Linked DNA regions of Arabidopsis thaliana. Each later gene encodes a partner of the first gene's protein in a complex. Each region holds a gene or a part of one and is shown on either strand. Other genes may lie near its edges. The genes, in order: AT2G30120, FRL1 and SUF4.

Evidence for each region.
Region 2: AT2G30120 (region 1) and FRL1 share a complex: the UniProt entries of both Arabidopsis thaliana proteins name them as parts of the transcription activator complex.
Region 3: AT2G30120 (region 1) and SUF4 share a complex: the UniProt entries of both Arabidopsis thaliana proteins name them as parts of the transcription activator complex.

Annotation. Positions count from the first base shown.
Region 1 is NC_003071.7:12,860,144-12,863,897, forward strand, and holds AT2G30120 (protein FLC EXPRESSOR), read right to left. Parts: upstream 1,829-3,754; 5' UTR 1,720-1,828; coding exon 1,193-1,719; coding exon of another isoform or gene 1,189-1,192; exon of another isoform or gene 1,076-1,188; coding exon of another isoform or gene 1,063-1,075; exon of another isoform or gene 1,058-1,062; coding exon 882-1,057; intron 796-881; coding exon 704-795; coding exon of another isoform or gene 686-703; exon of another isoform or gene 536-685; coding exon of another isoform or gene 464-535; exon of another isoform or gene 347-463; coding exon 257-346; 3' UTR 4-256; downstream 1-3. UniProt on the Arabidopsis thaliana protein: Transactivator required for FRIGIDA-mediated activation of FLC and for the expression of the repressors of flowering AGL27/MAF1 and AGL31/MAF2. Does not alter expression of known activators of FLC expression.
Region 2 is NC_003076.8:5,342,870-5,346,623, forward strand, and holds FRL1 (FRIGIDA like 1), read left to right. Parts: upstream 1-1,625; 5' UTR 1,626-1,637; coding exon 1,638-3,050; 3' UTR 3,051-3,237; downstream 3,238-3,754. Other genes in the region: UCH1 (Peptidase C12, ubiquitin carboxyl-terminal hydrolase 1), read right to left, coding at 1-486, 567-669, 759-852, 1,254-1,284; AT5G16330 (NC domain-containing protein-like protein), read right to left, coding at 3,294-3,754. UniProt on the Arabidopsis thaliana protein: Required for FRI-mediated up-regulation of FLC transcripts, but not redundant with FRI and only partially redundant with FRL2. Required for the stabilization of the FRI-C complex.
Region 3 is NC_003070.9:11,042,109-11,045,862, reverse strand, and holds the start of SUF4 (zinc finger (C2H2 type) family protein), read left to right. Parts: upstream 1-2,089; 5' UTR 2,090-2,269; coding exon 2,270-2,463; coding exon of another isoform or gene 2,464-2,467; intron 2,468-2,914; coding exon 2,915-3,015; intron 3,016-3,250; coding exon 3,251-3,380; intron 3,381-3,754. Other genes in the region: AT1G30972 (Plant thionin family protein), read right to left, coding at 953-1,192. UniProt on the Arabidopsis thaliana protein: Sequence-specific DNA binding factor that recognizes the 5'-CCAAATTTTAAGTTT-3' sequence. Recruits the FRI-C complex to the FLC promoter. Required for FRI-mediated FLC activation, but has no effect on the expression of MAF1, MAF2, MAF3, MAF5, UFC and CO.

The DNA.
Region 1 (3,754 bases):
ATCAAATGGAATAGTTTTAAAAATTTGTAATTCTAAAAGGACCACAAACTCTTGTCCTTGTTTGTTTATAGTTGGATGAGGTATGTAAATTAATGTAAACCTCAAAAATCGAACTGAGAATACAGAGTAGAAAAATTCTTCGAACTTCAATCAAATAAATTATTTGGTTGAATACACTCGCTAAATAAGATACACTAAAACAAAAATTGTCAAATCAAGTATATGGCTGGCCTATTCAAACGTAAGCAAGACACTATCACAACACACTAGAATGTTGAGTATTATTCAGAGGATGCTGCAATGGAGTAGATGGGTCTTGAGAGAGACAATCCGATGCTCTATATGCCTGAAGTGTATATTTGTGTGATGTTAAACACTACTAGAATCGAACAATGTTAAAGTAAAACCGCAATCTTATCATAAGCGTTGAATTCAGTCAATTATGAGTTTACAACAATTCTCACTAACCAACGGATACTTGTACAAGTTGGACACTTACTAACCTATGAACATAACTTTTTTCCCTGAGAACTAGCTATTTTGCTAAGATATCAGTTCAGAATGTAAGACAATCAGAACTTGGTATGCCAATCATTACAAACAATTAGTCCAATCTTCTCCTTCTCCATAATAATGCTAAATTAGGAGAACTTCTAACAGATGATCACGTAAAGTTACTACTTATCTATAGACTCATGTGTACCTCATGAGTACCATTAGCCTCCGGGTATTGCCGGCCTTGACCTCCATATATATCATCGGTGTTGTTTCCATAACTTGCAGCCAATCCAGGACCTTACATCAACAAATCATCAAAACTATAAGGTGGTTTTGCAGTTAAACTGTGTAAAGCAAAAAGCTAAAAAAGACAGAGAAATTACTTGGGGTTGGAGCTGCCTCAGCAGCTGCATTTGCTTCTCTAGCTTTAGTCTCCAGATCAACCAATTCTTCCTCAAGTTTTACAATCTCTCGATTCAAATGATCGATAGTCTTCTCCATACCGCGCTCATGGTGAAGGTTACTAGCTCGTGTCTTCTTCTCCAGCTCAAGAGCAGCCCTGTTTCATATCCCAAACCTCAAACAAATTCATTACTACTCCATAAGCATCCAAAAAACCATCATATGAGTATACACTACAAGATAACAAATCCAATGTTCCAACAAAAACAACAAAGAGAATTCAAATTTTCACCTTCCTTTACGAATCTCTCCTCGAAGAATCTCAATCTCCAATTTAACCTCAATAGCTCGATCCGAATTCGGTTTAGCCTTAGCCATCTCATCATCAAACATAGCCAATTCCGTAGCTAACTCCTGTCTATCACTACCTAACCTCTGTACATCAGACCTAACCTGACCAAGCTCAGCTCCAAGTCCATCAATCACACGAGCCTCCGCCTCCATTCTCAACGCATTCTGATAAACCTCACGCACTTTAGCTTCTCCTTCCGCTTTAACTTTAACAGCGGTTTCAAGTAACCGTTCGAGCTCACGCTTAGCTACATTGAGCTGGTCTTTGAGTCCGATGTGTGCTACAGCTAATCGTTGATTGTCGTTGAGAAGAGATTGGATTTCACGGTGTTGGATTGCGATTCGATCCTCGAGGATTACAGATCGAGCTCGATTTCGATCGGATTCGATTAATTGAGATTCTAATAATCTTGAAGATGATGAAGTTGAAACTGCTGATGATGGAATATAACGATCTCGTCCGGCCATAGTTTGCGATCTCCGATAATCTTCTCCGGTTTGTGAAAGTACTTCCCTAATTGAATTATGGTCGTTCTCTCTGTCAAAAGCTTTTTTATTCCGAGTTCGTTGTTAAAATAAGCCGTACCATCAAAAGCTAAACTGCGCAGCGCAAAAAAAAAAAAAAAAAAAAAACGTTATGAGCCCAAACTACAGTTATGATATGCTTGATTAAGCCCACTTGGACCAAACTAAGCCCAAATCAGAAAATTTGAGGCCGATTCAGACGTTGAAGGAATAAATTACTAGATACCTAGAGAAAGTATGTGCATCTTAAACCTTACCAAAAAAAAAAAAAAAGTATGTGCATCTTAAAAATATTCATATTAGTTTAAATATTCAAAATCTATTTACTTTTAATTAAACAAAATTTAAATATAAATTATGTGTTTATAAATAAGAGTTTGAATTTAGATTTTACAATTAAACGAGATTAATTACATTTTTGTTTAAATTTTGTATAGAAAGATTAGAATTTAAATTTTACAATTAAATAAAATTATATGTCAAATTATAAATAGCACCAATGACATTAGTTCAGTATTTTTTTAGATTGAAATGATTCAATTGGTAAAGAAAATATTTGTAGAGTACTCCAAGATAACACATATCTAATGGTAACCTATTTATATACAAACCGGAATAAATGAAAAAATTAGTCTTCTTTAACATTCTTAAATATATAATCATATTCATATGGAAAACAAAAAGTAATCGTAAATTTGATTATGAAACTATATAGTCTAAGTTGGAAATTCTAATAAATAGTTTATTTTTGAAAAAAAGAAAAACAAAATCCTATACAATCTAATTTTGTATCGCCAAATATTACATTTATTAGTGTTTTTTCTAACGATATACAAGTTTTTACTGACAGAAAGTGATAATCAATGATATGCTAATTGATATCGAAGGTAGAGTTAAAACTGTAAAATAAGAAAAGACGAGGCGGCAAGAGCTAGAGTCCAAGTCTACGGATTAGCACGAAGCTCTGATGTTTCAGATTGCTTCTTTTTGTTTCTTACAGAATCTTACAGACTTATTAAATTCCGACATAAACAGAAACTCATTTCTTTCACTCATTCAACTAAAGTTTAAGCAAAAACCAAACCCTCAGGTCTTTAAAGTTTTTTTTTTTTTTTGTCCCAACTCTTCAACACAAAAGAGACTTCAATAAATTTTAACTGAACTCAGTCAAACATTGCTTCTTGTCTCCTCCCCCACCGTTTCCAAAGATTTTATTTTTTTCTTTGGGTAAGAAAATAAAATAGAAACAAAAGAGCAAATACCGAGAACCGAATCTTCCATGTCATCTCAAAGCATTTAATGATGTGCATCGAGTCTCACATGCTTATTTTTCTCCGAGGTGCCCAAAGATGTCTGTTCTCTCTTCTTCTTCTTTTTTTGTCTTCTAAAATTTTGATTAAATGTTTAGTTTAGAGAATTATTTAGTTCTTCTTTCTTTTGAATGATTCTAAAATACATTAGCAAGAAGAACCACTTCCCAATGTGACAGTTCTAATTCTAAAATATATCCCTCCATTAACACCTAAACTATTTATTCTTCCTCTAGAGTGGTCCTATTAACTGAGTCATTTTCTTTTCTATAATTCCTTTTAGTACTAATTAACTATATAGGGATTTAATGATCCTAAGCTCAAATTATATTTCCACTCGGACTTTGCATAGTTACAAATTTTGTGGGGTTTTTCTGTTACAAAAATGAAGAAGAAATACCGAGTTAGCTTTTTTTAAAAAAATTTAGCTTTCTGTTTTCCTTATATTTACTAATTCTAATAAAAAGCAAAATAATATCCAAGTCTTGACACTTCTAATCTTACCGTAAAAACATAGAGTAAAAGTTAGAAATAAAACACTGAAAATTAGTTATAAAAAAAATCATCAATTGACGATGTTGGTAGATATATCGAAATTTGGTCATTCAACTATTTAAAAATTCATTAGAAAAAATATGCTGATCATAAATATTAAATTGTAGTTCTTT
Region 2 (3,754 bases), on another chromosome or scaffold:
CAGTTCAGCTACATACATCTCTTTCCTGTTCTTAACTACAGCTAAGAGACTAAACCGAATCTCATTCTGCGAATACCGGTCAATCTGCTCTTGTACCACAGGTTGGACCATTCTGAGCCACTCGATTCCTTCTGGCTCACCCAGACACTGTCCAAGACTAATGGGTCCTTCTTTAAGACCATCGAGCTCATATAAGATACCATCAACAGGTAAGTAGCTGATGTAATGATACACATCATCATCTTCGTCTAGATTTTTCGCAGCAGCTAATTCTTCATCTTCCATGATGGAAGACGGGTCAGGCCTGGCAAATGTGTTGTGAGCTGCACGTATTGCCTCATTGTTGTTGATGGCTAAACCTTTCAGTTCAGGAGGAAATTCTTTGGCGAATTGTTTCAGTTCTGATAGTTCTGAGCCAATATCAATACTCGAAGAGTTCATGAGGACTGATAATATCGCTTGGGTCGCACAAGCATTGTTGATTATCTGCAAGAAACACATAGTTTATAAAAAAGGTAATGATTGGAAAATCCGTGAGTCACAAATCTAATGTGAGAGTAAAAGACCTGGCTTGCAAAGAAGAAATTCGGGTTTGGCTCTGTGATGACAACACGATTCTCCTTTTCTTCTGGACGCCACTTGTAAAGCAATATCAATCCATAGACAGGTCTGCAAATATCAGACAACTCAAGGTAAATTTGACTTTGTTTTTCTTCTGTTTCGAACAATAGAAGATGAAAGAGTAACAAGTAAACTACCTTATTTCATCCAGAGAGTTGAAGTCCAAGGAATACAATTCCTCAACCTGCACACCTTTCACTTGCATTTGTTGTATAATCTCAGTGAAAATACCTAAAAATATAGAATACAGAAAACCAAAAAATATGAAGAAATAACAAACAAGAAAGCGACATTGGTCTTACTCACATATATGGCACAATGGCTATCGAGAGACACTAATCCACTTAGTATAAGACAAACACCATTGTTGATATATAATTTCAAAAAGCATCAATACTTTTATTTTCCAATCCTCACACAGTAAGTATCACCTCTTGTAGATGCAGAGAAGACTATTTTCAACATTTGTTGGCTTCTAATTTGACAAAATCCAAACATAAATCAGATTCTACAGGAAGCCAAGACTATTTTCCAAACATTTTTAGTGCTCCACTATCAAAACCTCGTTACTGACATCATCTCTTTATATATCCAGAAAACAGGAACCCCAAATTGTTAAAGAGAATATATACCAGGATCAGATTCTACAGGAAGCCAAGACATGGTTCAACGATGACTCGCGCCGGTGAAAATGGGTCTGAATTTAGAATTTTCACTCTCAAATTCGCGCTTATCTATCTCCTCCCATCGATTTCATCGTCTTCACGCTAGCTGCAGACTCGAAAGAGAGACTATAGACTGGTGTGGTCTCGATTTTGTCTTAATAGAGGTCGCTCTAAACCGAGTAGAAACGAAATTGAATTCATCCAAACCATTTCAATTTCTATAAATCGAACCAAATCAAGTGAAAAACAATTCGGTTCTGGTTTTATTAAACTTACTCGAACCGAACCGAACCGATAACGTTCTTATATATCCTTGCCGGAGAGAGCCAAAGAAATCTTAGAGATCAAACAATGACGGCGAGTGAGACTATCGCCACCGCGATAAATCAGATTGATGAGAAGAAGGAAAAGCTAAAGAAAGCTTTCGACGATCTTCAAGCTCATCGCTCTCTCCTTTCACCGTCTTTCTCACTTTCCTGGTCTGAGATCGATTCTCACTTTTCCTCTCTCCAATCCTCCCTTGCTAGCCGTTTCCGCCTCCTCCACTCTACATCTCCTTTGGAACATGATTCGTATAGAATCGACGCTTCTGATGCAGGGAAATCGTCGTCTTCGGAGGAGGTATCGGAGCAACCCGTTGTTGAGCCGGAGTTGAGAGCCTTGTGTGAGAAGATTGACGGAATTGGTTTGATTAAGTATTTGATTAGGATATGGGATGATGAAACTCCTCTCAATCAGGAAGTTTCTGCAGCGATTCGTTACTCTCCGGATACGGCGTCCATGGTGCTTGACGCGATTGAAGGTTCGAACTACACACCGTCATCATCGGGAAGATCATTCGATGTAAGGAGAGTTTTCGTTTTGTTAATGGAAGTTTTGATTGAGATCAATGCGAATATCACTGTTGATACGAGAAATAGAGCTAAGAAACTGGCTTACCATTGGAAATCTAAGGTTGGTGTCAAGCCTTTCGAGGCGTTAGTGTTTCTGCATTTGGTCGCAGCTTTTGAATTAGGATCAGAATTTGACACAGAGGAGCTTTCTGATTACGTTTTCATGATCGCTAAGTATAAGCAAGCAACTTTGGTTTGTAACAAGATTGGTGTAGATAGGAAAAGAGTTGGGAAACTCATCAAGACTCTCTTGGATTCTGGTAAACCAATTTTAGCAGTCAAATTCATGTATGAGTGTGGGATGACTGATGAATTTGAGCCAATCCCTGTTTTGAAATCTTACATTAAGGACTGTAGAGAAGCTGCTCTTAGAGTTTGCGTGGAAGATAACTACTCTCTCAAGTCGCAGAACGAAGCCTCTGATAAAGAAGTCAGTGCCTTGAAACCATTGATCAAAATCATCAAAGATCAGAACCTTGAATCAGAGTTTACTCAGGAGAAAGTTGAGGAACGTGTAGAAGAGCTGGAGAAAAATAAGGCATTGAGGAAACGCAACACGACTAATCCTCCCAAGCAAGAGCCACAGCAAAAGGGGAAAAAGCGGACTAGAGACTGCAAAAATGGGTCACAAGTTCCAGTTCCGAGTCAGCAGCTACTTTCTAGACCAGAAGCTCTTCTTATGCCTGAGCATAGTCATCATGGCTTACAGTTGAACCCTTATGGTCTTATGACCTCAGCATTTTCTGGTGTTGTTGTGAACCCATTAACTGGGCTCTTTGGTTCAGGTGCAACTCCTCAATCTCTTTACTATGCTCAGCAAACTGGATATGTGTTGCCGCCTCAATACCACCCGCCTTATTATTCTCAGTAGCTAGCTGCATCTCGACAATAAGATCTTAATCTCCTCAATGTAAAATGTTATCTTTGTAGAATATTTGCCTTGATGGAAAGTAAAAAAATCATTCTAACTCTATGTCTGAGGAATCTCATTCTTTGTTTTTTTGGTTTATATAGAATAGTAGTGAATTTTTCTACAATATTGGATCATGTTTCCTACATTATAGATTCTTCGAAGAATTCGCCTACCCGCCCGTTGGCGTGTCTTCAAACCTCATCACCTTCTATTTCTAGAGGTACCAGTAGCATATGCGCGAGGAACGAGGCTCTCGACGGGCACCTTAATAGCATCCTTTCTCATACCAATATCTGCAAATAGCTGAATAGCTTTGCTGCCGAAAGGACTAAGTTGCGCAAGCCACGCAGCTGCACTCACTGAGCTGGCTTGACCGCCCCTTCCCAACACATAGTCTTTTCCGACCAGCAAGCTTGTTTTACAATATATTGCAAAATCTTCACAATTGTTTTCCAAAGCATGGTAATCACCAAACCCATTCCGCAATAAGAGGTATTTGGCGCGGGAAATGACTTCATCGCAGGGATCCGAAGGTGCTATAGTGCATGTGCCGCGTCGAGGTTTGGCGATAAATGCAGCTGGAGAGACACTGTACTCGAAAAGATAGATGTTTCCTCCGGCGAGAAAGCAGTCAAGGCAAGAAGAGATTACACCTTCGAGAT
Region 3 (3,754 bases), on another chromosome or scaffold:
TAAAATGTACAATTAAACAAACATTGCACAAGTTGTAGAAAAATGTAAAAGCTTCGGATTTAAGCACAGAGAAACGGCAAAACAAGTGAGAGCCAATTTTGCTTCAATAGGAGAAACGTAGTAGTGGCAGTTTTATTTTAAATGTATAAATTGAAACAAAGTGTTTTTCTCTTGAAGCTGAACATAGATGGTTTCACTTTTGTCTCATGTAAATATGGTCATATGGATTTTGCTTTATCCACAAGGTATCACACTTTGAAATAACTAAAATAAAAAATATGAATCAAGAAAATCAATAAGCCGCTACATGTCACTTCCAAAATTATGAAATATGAGATTCGAATCTAAGAGGAGTCTTAAACTGTTAAACAGAGACGTGTTTACAGTCAAGAGAAATTTATAACATGGGACAAATTTTATTTTATTTTATTTAATAGCGTTACAAATTTACAATGATCATATTACATAAGGAGGATACAAAAGTAGAAGAAGAGCTAGTTTAAAAGTCCCAAGAGTCCAACACTGATTCATGACTCATCGTCTCTTCTATTTCTGCGCTTCCACTATACAAATTAGAACCATCGATTATTTTAACCTTTAGTTTTTCCAAATAATCTCTTGAGTTTAATTTAAAAAATAATATTTTCAGGACTATATGTATACCTAAACAGTGACAATGATGTTTCTAAGATTTAAAACACTTTATTACCGAAATATATCTCAAAATTTTACTATTTCAAAACGTTATGTTGCTATTTTATTTTTCACCACATTTTCGAAACATTAGCATACCGTTCAATCATTTGAACATTCCATTGTTAATCTATTATTATTATTACACTAGTCAAACTTACTTCAAATTTATTTATACAAAGGGGAATATATTTTATATAGTTAGTAAAAATCTCAATAATCATTAAAATAGATTTTCTTTGACATATTTCCAAAATTGTTAGATTGTTTGTTTGTTTTTACCTTCTGAAAAATGGTTACCTAATGTACGACGAGGTTTGCCGGGACATCGACGGTAACAATTCTGAAGGCACGTGATCGGAATTCTTCCTGTGGTGGCACAACCTAGAATGCAATCTTCATGGCATTGAGCTTTCGTCTCTCCATTGACATTTTCCATTGCTATAACCATTGTCACCACAAACACCATTATAATCATTGAATTCCATTTAGCACCCATATCTTTAACTTTTTTGTTGTTGCAAGTGTTTCATGTACTTAAGAAATAATGAATAGCTATCCTCTATTTATAATCTTTTCTAATAGTTATCTAATTCTTAGCTCTTATCGTCTCTTCTTCTTATTTGTTATAGGAATTGCTCTTCTTTTTTTTTCCTGGTCAAAGTTTCTTTGTAATAGAGACTAGTTACTTTTTTGGTTAATCTTCTTCTGTTTTTTTCTCTATTTATAATCTTTTCTAATAGTTATGTAATTCTTAGCTCTTATAGTCTCTTCTTCTTATCTGTTACATGGATTCCTTTTTTCTGGTCAAAGTTTCTTTGTAAGAGAGATTACTTACTTTGTTGGTTAATCTTCTTCTGTTTTCTCACAGTTTATTTTAAGTTAATTTGAGATTAAGTTAATTTGAGATTTCATTGGACAAAGAAAATTAACTCTTGAAAGAATAAAAAATTATGTCAGAAGTGGGGTTTGAACCCACACCCTCTTACGAGGACCAAAACTTGAGTCTAAGGCCTTAGAGCATCCACATTGGTCACTTATATGTAGATGTCTTTAAATATAAAACTATAAATAATAATAATAAAAAAATTATGAATGTTTTTAGTTTGAGATTTGTGTTTCTGTAGAGACACTTTAAACACAACAAAAGTGAAATGTCTTTAATTTTATTATTTATTTATACTAAAAACATCTATAAAAAGTTGTCTAATGAGGTTGCTCTTAGACCACTTGACCATCCTAACGGATAACATAACCAATACTAATAGTATCATTATATAACTTACTAAGCATTTTGGAAAAATATATAATTAAACAAGAGTTATGGGTTCTTTACGAAATATTACACAAGAAAGTACCTTTTCTTATAAATACAAGATAGTAACCATTAGATAAAGTAAAAATAAATAAAAAACAGAGAATCTGAAGATCGTAGAAGAAATCGAGAAAACGCTTTGTACCAATTAGAAACCCTAGCGAGCGGAGGAAGGAGACAAAGAACGAGACTTTTGAGAGATTGGAGATTTCAATTTTGAGATCAAATCTTGAAATCAACAAATAGGAGAAAGATTTAGTGATGGGTAAGAAGAAGAAGAGAGCTACAGAGAAGGTGTGGTGTTATTACTGCGATAGAGAGTTTGATGATGAGAAGATTCTTGTGCAGCATCAGAAAGCTAAGCACTTTAAGTGTCATGTCTGTCATAAGAAGCTTTCTACAGCTAGTGGCATGGTGATTCATGTTCTTCAGGTTCATAAAGAGAATGTTACAAAGTATGTGCCTTTTCTTTTTACCCTTTCCCTATGGCTCTTTTTGTTGTGTTAGGTTGATTTGGAATATTAGGGTTGTTGCCTCTATGATCTTTGTTCAAGTTCTGATTTTTTTTTTGCTCTTGTTGTGTGTGATTGTCGTTTGATTTCTGTTAGATTGCGCTAATTGTGACTGTTGTGTTGTGGTTTGAATCGGTTGATTGTGTATGTTTGCTGGAATTTGAATCGTTTTTTTGGATTATCTCTTGAATGGGTTTGGTTAATTTGTATATGTCTGGTCATAAACCCTAATTTCTGATTGCAATTTTTGTAAAGAAACAGTCTTTTGCTTTTGCTTTTGCTTGATAGGTTTTTCTTGGAATTTGTGGTACTGTTCAATGTGTTTGCCTGTTGAATTTGGAATTTGATTCCATGACACTACTAACTTTGAAATTATCTACAATTTTCACACCAGAGTTCCTAATGCTAAAGACGGTCGAGATTCAACTGATATTGAAATATATGGAATGCAAGGAATTCCACCCCATGTCTTGACTGCTCATTATGGAGAAGAAGGTATGCATTTGAGATAGTGAGAGTACTGTTTAGATTATGAGCAATTGATTTAGAGAAGTAAGGCGATAAATTTGTATGTCTCTTCATCAAGTGTTGTAGATCTATTGCATCTAGTGGTCATGAATTCGTTTTGATTTTGCATGCGGCTTTTTGCCTTATCAAAGTTATTATATATTATTGTTATGTTTGCTTGTTTCATATGGTACCTTTTGAACTGAAGTCATGTTTTCTGCAGAGGATGAGCCTCCAGCCAAAGTTGCAAAAGTTGAGATTCCTTCTGCCCCTCTTGGTGGTGTAGTTCCTAGACCATATGGAATGGTATATCCGCCTCAACAAGTACCTGGTGCTGTACCTGCACGACCAATGTATGTACTAATTATACTATACTCTCTCTATGGCCGTTACTTGTTGAATTCTTAGATGTTGTCTCTGTTTTTAAAAATCCGATCCATGCTAAATGATGGGGAACTTTTTTTCTTTTAGTTCTCTTGATGCAAAAGGTTCTTGGTTTCTTTAGTTTGTCTCTGTCCTAGAACTTTTCTACTTTTGTTCTTCTATAAGACCACTATAACACCCGTAGTAAACATTTTTTGAAATAGATCGTTATCTAAGATATTGTTGCACTTAACCAACTATGACCCATAAGGTTCTTAGTTTCCCTAGCTTGTTCTCGTGATTTTTCAGGATAGAACTTTGTCCTAGAACCATTCTTTTGCTCCTCTTCAAGACCACAATAACA